3 linked regions of the Pelodiscus sinensis genome follow. The protein of the gene in region 3 interacts with the protein of the main gene of each other region in a pairwise test. Links are inferred from orthologs where the notes say so. Each region holds a gene or a part of one and is shown on either strand. Other genes may lie near its edges. The genes, in order: SNX15, SHMT2 and ARL6IP1.

The links.
Region 1: the proteins of ARL6IP1 (region 3) and SNX15 interact in binary tests that used the Homo sapiens proteins (3 or more experiments, as listed by UniProt). The two-hybrid records come from large-scale screens. The link is inferred for Pelodiscus sinensis from reciprocal best matches to the Homo sapiens genes ARL6IP1 and SNX15.
Region 2: the proteins of ARL6IP1 (region 3) and SHMT2 interact in binary tests that used the Homo sapiens proteins (3 or more experiments, as listed by UniProt). The two-hybrid records come from large-scale screens. The link is inferred for Pelodiscus sinensis from reciprocal best matches to the Homo sapiens genes ARL6IP1 and SHMT2.

Annotation. Positions count from the first base shown.
Region 1 is NC_134721.1:34,790,246-34,793,990, forward strand, and holds the start of SNX15 (sorting nexin-15), read right to left. Parts: upstream 2,495-3,745; 5' UTR 2,414-2,494; coding exon 2,315-2,413; intron 2,223-2,314; exon of another isoform or gene 2,102-2,222; intron 1,747-2,101; coding exon 1,711-1,746; intron 1,228-1,710; coding exon 1,107-1,227; intron 295-1,106; coding exon 179-294; intron 1-178. UniProt on the Homo sapiens protein: May be involved in several stages of intracellular trafficking. Overexpression of SNX15 disrupts the normal trafficking of proteins from the plasma membrane to recycling endosomes or the TGN.
Region 2 is NC_134729.1:3,133,690-3,137,434, reverse strand, and holds the start of SHMT2 (serine hydroxymethyltransferase, mitochondrial), read left to right. Parts: upstream 1-1,490; 5' UTR 1,491-1,608; coding exon 1,609-1,638; intron 1,639-3,745. UniProt on the Homo sapiens protein: Catalyzes the cleavage of serine to glycine accompanied with the production of 5,10-methylenetetrahydrofolate, an essential intermediate for purine biosynthesis.
Region 3 is NC_134726.1:20,312,766-20,316,510, forward strand, and holds the start of ARL6IP1 (ADP-ribosylation factor-like protein 6-interacting protein 1), read right to left. Parts: upstream 2,702-3,745; 5' UTR 2,549-2,701; coding exon 2,513-2,548; intron 1-2,512. UniProt on the Homo sapiens protein: Positively regulates SLC1A1/EAAC1-mediated glutamate transport by increasing its affinity for glutamate in a PKC activity-dependent manner.

The sequences.
Region 1 (3,745 bases), on a different chromosome or scaffold from region 3:
TCTCTGCTGTATGCTGGGGAGGTGAGGATCTCCTCAGCCCAAGCTTTTCAAGGGGTATGTAGAGCAACTGAGTGGGCCTGATGATGCTACCATGTGTGTGAGCAGCCTGATGCATCAGCAGTGGCCCCAGAGCACCTAGGGCCCTCTCAGCCCACCCAGCCCAGCCCTACTCACATACCCTGAAGAACTCCTTGAGTTGGGGGCTGTTGTTCAGTGCAGGGATGTGCACCGTGAATCTCAGCATGGCCTCAGCTGCTTTCCTGCGCTCCTCGATCACCTCGGGCTCAAAGCGGCCTGCGGGACAGAGCTCCTGTTGCACTGTGATGCAGCACCCATCTAGCCTCTCCAGGCAGACCAGCCACTCCCCCTCTAGCCCTATGGTACATTTCAGTTCTGCCACCCTTAAGCCTGGACATCCCACCACAATTCACTTCATGTGGTATGATCCACTATGCATCCCTTGTCCTGTGAATCTGGTGTGAGCCCCCTGCAGCATGTCCAGCAATGACTGCCTTTCCCCTGTGGGGACATCAGCTCTAATCTGTCCCCAGGGCAGGGGATTGGTTCCAGGTGGCAGGAAATGAGATATGGGACCTTTCCCAGCTCTGATCCAGTCCGAGATCCCAATAAATTAGACTCATTCCCATCTGCAGCTCATTTGGTGACCTGGGTGTGAAGCGTCTTGAAGGGTGGGTCTAACTGCCCCACACCAGCAGTCTCTGGGGGTGGGTTGGGGACTCAGACTGCTGTGTCTGGGTCAGGGGGAGGGGATGGCATCTGGGTATGTGGTAGGGGCAGTAAGAGAGTGCTGAGTCTGTGTGGGGACCTATGGGAAGTTGCAGGGTGCTGGGGGCATGAAAGGGAGCTGTTGGGGAAAGGGAAGAAGGGGACTGTGCAGAAGGCGCTGGATGTGTGGGTAGACATTATGGGATGCTGTGGAGCACTGTGAAGCAGAAAAGGCTATGCGGTAGGGGGGCTGTACTGTGGGGACGAGGGAGCTGACCATGGGGGAGGAATGAGGGAAGCGCTCTCTGCCACTGCTCCTGCTCTGGGAGTAACCAGAAGAGTCTGGCTGTTGAGCCCCCACCTCTCGGGAAGCCACTTACCGAAGACCTGGGCTTTGGGGAAGGCAGGGAACTCCTCCATGCGCCGGAAGAGATTGCGGTGGATGTAGGACAAGTCTCCATGCAGCTTCTTGAAGTCACTGTAACGTTTCCAGATTGTGATCTGAAGGACAAGAGCCCCCCAGGTGCCCCAGTTAACTAGCCACAGACATGCGCTGAGCCCACAGCTTCTACAGTCCCAGGGACCCTCCGCTTTTCCCCCAAACTGCAACCCTTCAGCTCAAACCTCCAAATCCAAATCTATGGACCCAGCTCCTTCCAGATAGAACTTCTACTTCAAACTCCTGGATTTCTGCCTTCCAAAGCCCCTGGAATTTCACCCCCAGATTTCAGTCACACGATCCCTGCCCCCACAACCTTTGCCATAGGACTCAAAGCCCCAAAACTGTCCCCAAAACTCAGCTCTATCAGACCTCAAGTTATGGGACTTTTCCCATCACTGCTGGGCAGCTGTGAGTGTGGGCTAGCCGGTAGTGGGGACCCCCCCCCCCCACACTCTACACTGAGGGATGGCTATGGATTTCATCCCACCCCTTCTTCGCACCCCTCCCCTGCACGAGCCATCAGACGGGTTTAAAACAGTCACCTCCTTGACATCTTCTGGTTTCGTCTTTGAAACAAACTAAGGAGGGAAGAGAGGAGGAGTCAGCAACTTCTGAGCCGGGAGGTGGCAGTGGGGAGGTTCAGGGCAAAGGAAGGGACCAGCAGGGCATGGGGCTATCAGGCTAGGAGGCGGGAAATGTGATGTCCACAGCGCGTGGGATGGGGAGGCAGGACACCCACCGGGGCCAGCCACGGGCGTGGGGGGCATTTAACGGGACGTGCCTTTGACCTGGGACATCCACGTGCCTCGGCACCGTCCCACGTGGGTTTCCCGGGACCCAGGGCTCCCCCTGCAGGACGCTTCCGTCTTAAAAGGGCCACACCTACGACGCCCCAAAACGGAGCCTCGGAGGGGACCACTCGCAACTTCCCACCTCTTAAAGCGGCTACGCAGTGTCCCTCACCCTGGAAAGTATCGGGAACAAGTCCCACCCCGCCTGCACGCGCCGTGCGCCCTCCTTAAGGTGGGCGAGCGAGGCGCCCTCCTTCCATGGGGCATCGGCAGCCCCAGCTGCCCAGGAGGGGCCCTTCACCTTAAAGGGGCCGCGCACAGCTCCCTGGGGAAGGTCCCAGGCGCTGCCCCTCACCTTGGCTGTCACTTTGTACTCAGTGTGGCCCTTGGGGTGGCTCCTCGGCTCCGTGACCGTGTAATAACGCTGGTACTCATCCTTCACCCTGCAGGCCATCTCCCTCCGCACACTGAGGCTGCGGCCCCTTTAAATCTTGAGCCCGCCCCTCTCCAGCCCCTAACAGCCCCAAGCAGCAGTGACCGCCGCCAGGGAGCGTGGGTTTGCCGAACAGCCAGTACGCATGCGTGGCCGGGCCTCCTTGCCCTGTCCCAGCCCAGGGAGCGTGTGTAAAGTACAAAACTGCAGGCGAGCTGAAGAGTGAAGGGCTCCTCTGGAGAGTGAGCCCTTCTTAGAGGCAGGGTAAGCAAGGAGTCAAGCCCAGGTGTACAGGGAGGAAGACTGGAGGGCCAAAGGGTAATTGGGCGGAGGTGAGGTAAAGGGAGCAGGTTACAACTGTGGCTCTCAATCAGTCAAGTCAACCAGTGTTATGCATACCCCTGGGATACACACAGGACTTACAGCGAATACATCAACTCATCTGAATATCTGACAACTTTTACAAGAGGCAGCAGGAAAAACACTAGCTAAGTCAGTACAAGCTAAAATGTCATAAAGCTTGTTTATGCTGCTCTGTATGCTTCACACTGAAATGCAAGTACAGTATTTATAGTCCAGTGGATTTATTTTATGATTATATGGTAAAAATGAAAAGCAAGAAGTTTTTCAGTAATAAATGCAAATGCTGGGACATTTCTGTATTTTATGCCTGATAAAAGATTTACTCAGCGTTGCTTGGGTCCTTAACTCAAATAAGTTTTGTTTTTCTTCTTTTAAATCATTGTTCTGGGGTGGGGCTGGGGATGAGGAATTCAGTATGCAGGCTGCCCTGAGGAGAGTAGACAACCCCAGACCACTCTTACCGTAGCGGTTTGGGGCCAGGTGAGATGCACCTGTCCATGGCTGCTGCAGCTGTAGTGGGCACAGCCATGGTGTGGTGGTGTGCATATCTCCCAGCTGGGGAACAGACAAACACTAAAATATATAAAAGGTGACCCTTTCTCCATCCTTGCTATCTGCTGGCCCAATGCAGTTATAGCTCTCCTAGTCTCCACCTCTGCCCCCCGTCCCCCGTAGTCATTTTGCATTATAACTCCCTCCTGCCAAACCCCACCCTTTCCATTTTATGAGAAAATCAAATCCATGCACACCCCATTATCCTGGCTCAACCCAACCCTGACCTTGCTTTAAGTTATGATAAGAGGAAGCTGCATACCAAATCTGGTGGTTCTAGCGCTTACTGTTCAGGAGGAGGTCTTGAACAAACGGATAGACATTACTAAAATATCTAGTAAGATTTTGTAAGTAAGTAGTTTAAGTGAGTTTAAACTTGGGGTAACAAGACAAATCAGATGTCTGCAAGGGGTCACAAGAGGCTATATGACAACGGAG
Region 2 (3,745 bases), on a different chromosome or scaffold from region 3:
TGCCCCTCTGCGTGCGACCCTTGAAAAACCCAGCAAGTGTCCCACTTGGCACAGTGGGGGAGTGGAGTCCAGTGGTTAGAGCAGCGAACCAGCCAACAGATTTCCTGGGTTCTAGTCCCCGATCTGCTCTGGAGGGCCGGGTGCATTTTTTAAGGGGGAATCGTCTTGGCTTGGACCTTGGGCACTAGGGTGCTGGATTTGGTGGGGGTGGAGGGCAGCATTCTCTGTCTCTTGTGTCTAAATAAGCTACACACCCTTTAACAGAGACCGGCCTTTCCCCGGCCTACCCACCTTTGCACCTCGACGTGCTTTGTACATATCACAACATCCTGTGATCAGCCCGCCCCCCGCCCACCGCTGAAATGCAGCCACCTCTGGAGTGGGCTGTGACAGCTGGTTAATAACCACCCAGCAGAGCTGCACAGAGATCCTTCACCCAGCCCTGAAAGGCAGCCACCTCTGGGGATGGGCGCTGTAGCTGGTTAGCAGTCTCACCGCAGTGGGATGGGTCACCCAGTTGGAGAATGCAGCTCCCTCTGGGGTGGAGCCCAGCAGTGGTTTAACGCCACACAGCAATGCTCTAGGAAGATTTTGAGGCAGAGGAACAGCACGCCGAGCGGACAACACGGAGCAACAGAAAGCAGCCTCCTTGCTGAACGTGTTCTCAGCTCTGTCATAGCTGCAAGCAGTCAGGGTGGCATTGTCTGCTCACTAGGGCACGCTGCCTCACTGAGCCCTGTGGACTAGGGGTGCCATGGGCTGCCCGCAGCATTTCTGCCCAACCTCTGCCAACACCCAGCAGCACCGCTGCAGGTTCTGCACCCCCTTTGCTGCCAGAGCCCTGCTGCCGTGGCTAGTGGATCCCACCAGCTCCCTATGAGCTGCCAGGTATCCAAGTGGAAGAGCGGTGTGTGTCGGAGTCTGCATGGAGGGGGGCAGTCCCTTGGATGCTGCATCACTGGAGGCCAGGCTGCGGCGATATCTGGGCCCAGAATCCCTGGGCTTGCCAACCTCTGGTCCTGGTTCAGACCTCCCTTCTAAGGGTAGGGCCTGTCTCTCACTGTGTCTCTGTGCACAGCAGCCCCTGTCCTCCCTGTGTGCACTCCCTTCATAACCAATCATCAAAACAACTGGGTGCAGGCGTGAGTGTTAATCCACCCCAGAGGTGGCTGCATTTCAGCCCTTGGTGAGTGACCCCCCGCCCAGGCTGTTAATCTGCTGCTGTGCTCATCCCCAGAGGTGGCTGCATTTCAGCCCTTGGTGAGTGACCCCCCCAGGCTGTTAATCTGCTGCTGTGCTCATCCCCAGAGGTGGCTGGAAGCCTCACTGGTGAGCAAGTCAGGCTGGAAGGCAAAGCCCCGGCCTGCGCCCTGTTCCCGTCAGTCACGCTGCGGCGGGTTTCCCGTTGTTTGCAAACATGCATATCAACTTATTAACCACTTTGCATAAACTATCAGGGGGGCGGAGCTCAGCCGCCGGGCCTAGGGAACTACATCCCCCAGCGTGCACCGGGAGTGGCGTCGGCGTCACGTGTTTCTTTCCCAGCGCGCGCGGGCCCCTTCTCCAGGCGAGCAGCGCCGGGGATCAGCTGTACCTGCCACCTGCAGCATGTTCCCGCGATGGGGCCGCCTGGCCGGGGTGAGCTCGTGCTGGGGAAGCGGGGGGATCCTGCTTGGGGGGGGGTGACTTTTGTTTTGCAAAGTAGCTTTACTGCCCCCCCAGGCCCACATGCGCCCCCCCATTTCAAACCACGTGCCCTGGTCGGGTCCCATACAAAGCCCCCTGCAAATAAGGGGGTGCTCCCCACTCTCTCTGCCCGCAGAGTCCTGGCCTTGGGGTTCATGGCCTTGTGCGTCCCGATGCTCTGTGGGAATCGCTGGTTCCTGGAGGGGGTCGGGGGGAGCTCACTGATAAGTGGGTCCCCTACTTGGCTCTCCTGCACGGTGTGTGCGTGCACCCGGCACTGCCAGCTGTGTGCATGGGGGGCAGCGCTCTGCCCGCCAGGACCCTGCTCCCCCAGACTGCCCTGCTGGCTTGCCTGGCTCTCAGACCTATGCCCCCTGCGGCCCGTTATCCCTCCTGGGCGCCGCACCAGTGTGTGCTTGGCACGAGTCCCGCTGGTCTCTGTCCCATCCCTCACCCTTCGATCTGAGTCAACAGCCCAGGGACCTCTGGCCTCCCCCGCCTAGGATGGGGGGAGGAGAACGAGAGAGACTAGGGGGGAAAGTGATGGGTTCCCCCCTCCCCCGACCCTTGCCAGAAGCTTAGTTCTACGGAGTTGGTACCAGCTCCCTGGTCCCGCAGAGGCAGAAGCTGCCCCCCCCCCCCCCTTTCCTGGCTTAAAACTTTCAGAAGTTTCTTTCACTGTGGCTTATTGTTTGGAGAAACTTGGCACATGGCTGGACTTTCACTGCTGCTGATGCAAGGATGGGTCCTCCTTGCATCATGGGTAGCCTGGCCGGGAGGCCTGGCTTTTGTGGCACAAGGGATGCAGCTGCGTTCAGAGCGGGCCGGGCAGCCCCACACCTGTCTGGGAACCAGGAGCAATCAGACAGCGACAGGGGAAGGGCGCCACGCAGGGCGTATTGCGTGGAATGTAAACTACTACAAAGTAAAGAGAGGTGGCTTGTTTTTAAGATTGGGCAGGGTAAGGAGCCGGCTTGGCTCATGTGAACGCAGGGGACTAAACGGAATATTTTTCTTTAGCCTAGTGAAGTTTGGAAGCTGGCTTACGTCAGTGTTCACTCGCAGGCCGGTACCCGAGAGCTGGGAACTCTGACACGCCATTGCTTTCGAATCTGGGCCCCAAACGTGGCTTTCCCCAAACTCTGGTCTCCTGCCACGCTGGGCCCAGGCAGCAAACGAGATTTTGGAAACCAGAGCTTGTCTTTCCAGCATGGGGACTACCCCGGCAGCAAACCGCTCCCTGGTGGGGTCTGTCCCGTTGGGGCTCAGAGAGACGTCCTCTTTTCCTTGGCTGCGTGGTCTGCCACGGCCGTGGGCTGTGTTGTGCGGGCGTCTGGGTTCCAGCCCCAGGACCCCGTACAAACACAGAGTGGAAACTCTGGCAGAGCTGATCCACTTGGCCGTAGCGGAGATACACACAAGGAGGGAGTGAGCTAGAGTCCCCCAAACAAGGGAGCGGAGAGGGTAGGGTTTGCACAGTGCCGGGTGAGTGGCAGAGTGGCACGGACATGTCTCTGCATGCCACGGCCATGCACGGCTCGGTGTGCTCTCCAGGGCACCTCTGTCTACACACCTCCCCACCCCACCCCAGTTCCATGGGGATCAACGCCCCAGCACAGGCCTCTTCTGTCCCCAGAGAGCTCCTGGCTGGCCCCTTGCAGTAGGAGTCTGAGGATCTGCTGCTGGGGTGTGCACCAGCAGCGAGGGGTGCTGTCTCCCAGCACCGTTTCAGGGGGAGTTTAGACACGTGCCCAGGGGAAAAGGGGGGCGGGGGAGCAAGCCCAGGGTGCAAACCAGCCTGGTGTGTCAATGAGGAGACGGCTGCACTGTGGAGGGGTGCTCGGGGGGCAGTGTGTGGTGGGGAGAGGACCCTGGATGGAAGCTGGGGGGGTAGAAGTCTGTCTCCTGGCACTTAGTGATCCCTGACACGTGTGTGAAACATGGCAGGAAGTGGGTGTGTGAGGGAGGATGGATTCTAGCCCCACCCCCTTCCTCCGCATCCTGTGCACGCTGGCGTGCTCCCCATCCTGCCATGCCTGAGCCCGTGCACACGCAGCTC
Region 3 (3,745 bases):
CACGTATTGCAGCAGACCAAAGCATGTGTCTCTTTCACTGATAAGATCTCAGCAACTCAAATTGTGCAGCTGAAAGCTAGGCTTAGTAAAAAAATAAATAAAAATCAGTGAGCTATGTGCCAGCATACAGTACTTAACTACACTGTCACTGCATACAACTAAACAAAACTTATCATACCAGTATGATTATTAGAAAGTCTTATTCACTATTAGAGCTCAAAACCAGCATGCACATTTTGCTTCCCATGCATTTTCTGAAATGTACATGAAGCATTTTTTAAAAGAGATTTTGGGATATCACTTTAAATAAGGTCCCTTATAACAGCATTTGAAAACCCTCTGCTCTTCTATAAACAATAATAAATGGGTTAAACACTGTGACAAAGTGGTAACTGTATCCACTGTTATGTCGCATGTGATTTCTACTATCCTACAATAAACCGTGTATGTGTTAAGGATGTTAAATTGCGTTTAATCCGCTAAACTGAGTAGTCGATGGAATTTCCACTAGGCTCTTGATACATTTAAGAGGCAAAGGCCCAGCATATGGGACCAAGTACAAGCAGGGATAGCTGAGTCCTGGCTTGCACCCGGTCCCCCGCTGCGCCTCTGCCTCTCCTGCCCTGCCCCCCCCCCCCCCCGAGATGTTGCTGGAGGGAGCCAGCTTTTAAACTATCTCCTTGCAGCACCAGCTCCTGCTCCCCACCTTTGCTGCGTGACTTGATTAGTGGCTTACATCCCTAGTGTGTGTGTGTCAGTTTCCCTGGGCACTGCTCCAATACCTAAAAAGAGATAGTGATGAGAATTTCCGTATCTCTTTCTTGCACACAATGACTGATGCTTTCTGTAACCTAAGCCTACGAAGGGCTGGGGGTGTAACCTGGTGACACCTTTTGCCAGGAAGCTGGACAAAGGCCAAGGCGGGGCTAACTGCAGGGTGGGGGTGGGCTTCCGAGTGGATGGGTTAGTCTCAGTGGTTTGAGGGTACAGGGGCCTTGGCTCTGAGCCTCCTGTCCCCAACTGGATTGTGCTGACTGCTTCTGGTTTAGGTGCTGACAAGTCTGTCCTAGGGATGTTAAAATGCATATAAGTAACTAACCGCTGACATTTTCAGCAGTTACACGTGAGGTGGCAGTTGGATCCCTGGGAGTCAGTGTGTGCAAGGAGCCTGCTTTCCCCACCCCATCCCTTCACTGCTGCCTCTGTATCAGCTCTCTGCATGTTCCAGAAGCCTGTGTGTAATCATGTACACGGTTACACTTTCACATCCCTAGTCTAAGATGTATCCCTGTCAAGTAATAAACCTTCTGTTCTATCTGCTGGCTAAGAATCATATTGGCCTGCAGCTGAGGGTGGCAGGACTCATGGTTAAGCCACCAGCCTTCAAGACTAGAGAATACCTCGGCAATGAGAATGTACACTGAAGTTACACTCAATCTGACTACTGTTTCAGCTCTCTTTTAAGAAGTGAATTCAAATGGTTTTTCCAGGTTTTTATTTTAGTTTGGACATTTGGCAGCACGTACATCTAGTGAGTCTCACTATTTCTTCCTATATTTTAAGGAAATAATTTCCTTCCTTCAATTTATTGGCTGTTCATTTGGAATTTTTAAAATAGCGTAAATTGAAGAGTCTTAAAATACAGGTAGAAAATATATTTCCAAACTACTTCTCAGTTTGGTTTAAAATTTCAACAGAATGGAAGTATATCCATCCTTTCCCTGTTCTGGTACCACCACCCATCAAGTCTTCACTTCTTCCATAGATATAGATATAAAATCCATCCCTTATTTCTGTCCTAACCAACTACCTAGCACCTTCTGCTGTCTACTTCACAAAAAGCTCCTCGCACCGAAATCCGCTGAAACAGGAAGAGGCCGAAGAAAAGGCCGCTAGGCTCTCGCTGAGAGATGACAAGAGCAGAAAACAACCCAGTACAGATTACGCAAATAGCGGTCTGATTTTACAACTGCATCCAGGGCTGGGCCACGCACAAATGACCCAAGCCTCGTGTGGCGTTTGTTTGGAAGCCGAGCTAACCCCAGCCCCCTTTCTTAGCGGGCAGTGGCCAACCCCACAAGCGTGTCAGAGGGCGAAGCCCTTCGGGTGCAGCGACCAATGGTGCCACGAGGGACTGCGGCAGTGGGGGCCGACAGGGGGCCCACCCGGCCTGCGGCTGCCCAACCCCTCCTGACCCAGTGTGCCGGGGGCAGATGTCTCCCTGCCACAGGCCCACAGGGCAGGCCCCGCCTCCCGGAAGCGGGCGAAAGGGGCAGGATTGGCTACGGGACCCCTTCGCTACGGGAGGCTGGAGGGGGTCAATTTTCGGTGCTCGCAGCGCCCGGCTGGCTGGGCGCGCTAAAGACGCGTGTAGGTAATGGGGGTGGGGAGAAGGAGACGCAGCCGCAGTGACTCCCTCGGTCCCTCCCCGGCGATTAGATGCTGGCGCACAGGGCCGCAGACGCTCACGTCCCCGCCACCGGCTGGCCGCCCGCCCGCAACACCCGCTCACCAGCTGGTTGGCGCTCCTGTTGTCTCCCTCAGCCATTTTGTACGCTGCAGCTGCGGCGACTGCGTCTAGTCGTGTGCTGCGCCCAGCCCTTCGCCGCAGCCCTCACACAGCGCAGCAGCCGCCCGGCCGCCTGCCCGCAGCCTTATAGACTCGGCTTCTGGAAGGGGCGGGGGAAACTGCTGGTCCCACCGCAACGCGGTGCCCGCCAATTTGATTGGCCGAATTAAGGGCTGGGTCAGGCCAATCGCAGAGCCCCCTCCTCGCCCAACGGCTACGGGAGCCTGCTGCCGTTGTTGTTTGAACACAGGCAACGGCCAATCAGATTCAGCCGAGAGCCGTTAACTGGTCGCTGGGCCTGTGACGTCAGCGTACAGCTTTTGCAGAAGGGAAAATGGGGGCGGGGCTTTCTCCTTTGGGGGGCGATGAGAAGCTCTCAGAGCTGCCTCCGTTTCCCAGCGGTGGGTGCGGGAATGACACCATCAGCGCCCACAGCTATGGGCTCCCCCATTCACAGCTGACAGGTTTTCCATCCAGGCATGGCAGCCTGGGCCATTAAACATCCGGTCAGCTGCTACCCTGCTGATCCCAGGGCCCCTGGGGGACACGGGTTGGCGGCTCCTTCCCAGAGCCTCACGCAGGCGTGTACCTTGTGTGGTTCACCCCCATTCCTGACCTTGCCGCAGCAGAGACCTTGGTACACGCCTGCCTCGAGAGCGCCAGCTTGCAGCGCCTGTTCCAGCTCCCCCAGAACCTCCTGCTGAGCGTCTGGCTGCCCTTGTCCCTGCATCTCTGTTTATACACACCCCAACCTCCTTGGGCCTGGCTCTGGCCTAGGCCCCCATCTATCACACGAGGAGGTGGCTGCTGGACGAGGGCATGCTCTGCAACTATGGGGCCTATTTCCACTCCTCCCTGATTGCACGTATCTTGGCAGAGATCCTCTTAACAGAGTCTGCTGGCTCCTAGGCAGTTCTGAGGAGCAGTGGGCACGGTCTGAGGTTCTCTGCTCAGCGTGCCCTTTGTTTTGAGCCTTTGACCTGCATCCCTGCCTCCAAAATGACTGATTTGTCATTAGTGTCCCAAGTGGTGCTGGGACCCTGCACCCATCCCACACCTAACCCCCTGCCACAGCCCAGAGTCCCTCCAATACCCAAACTCACTCCCTGAGCTTCCACCTCATTTTCCCCCCGCCCCCAACCAACCCTCTGTCCCAGCTGTGAGCCCCTGCCTGCA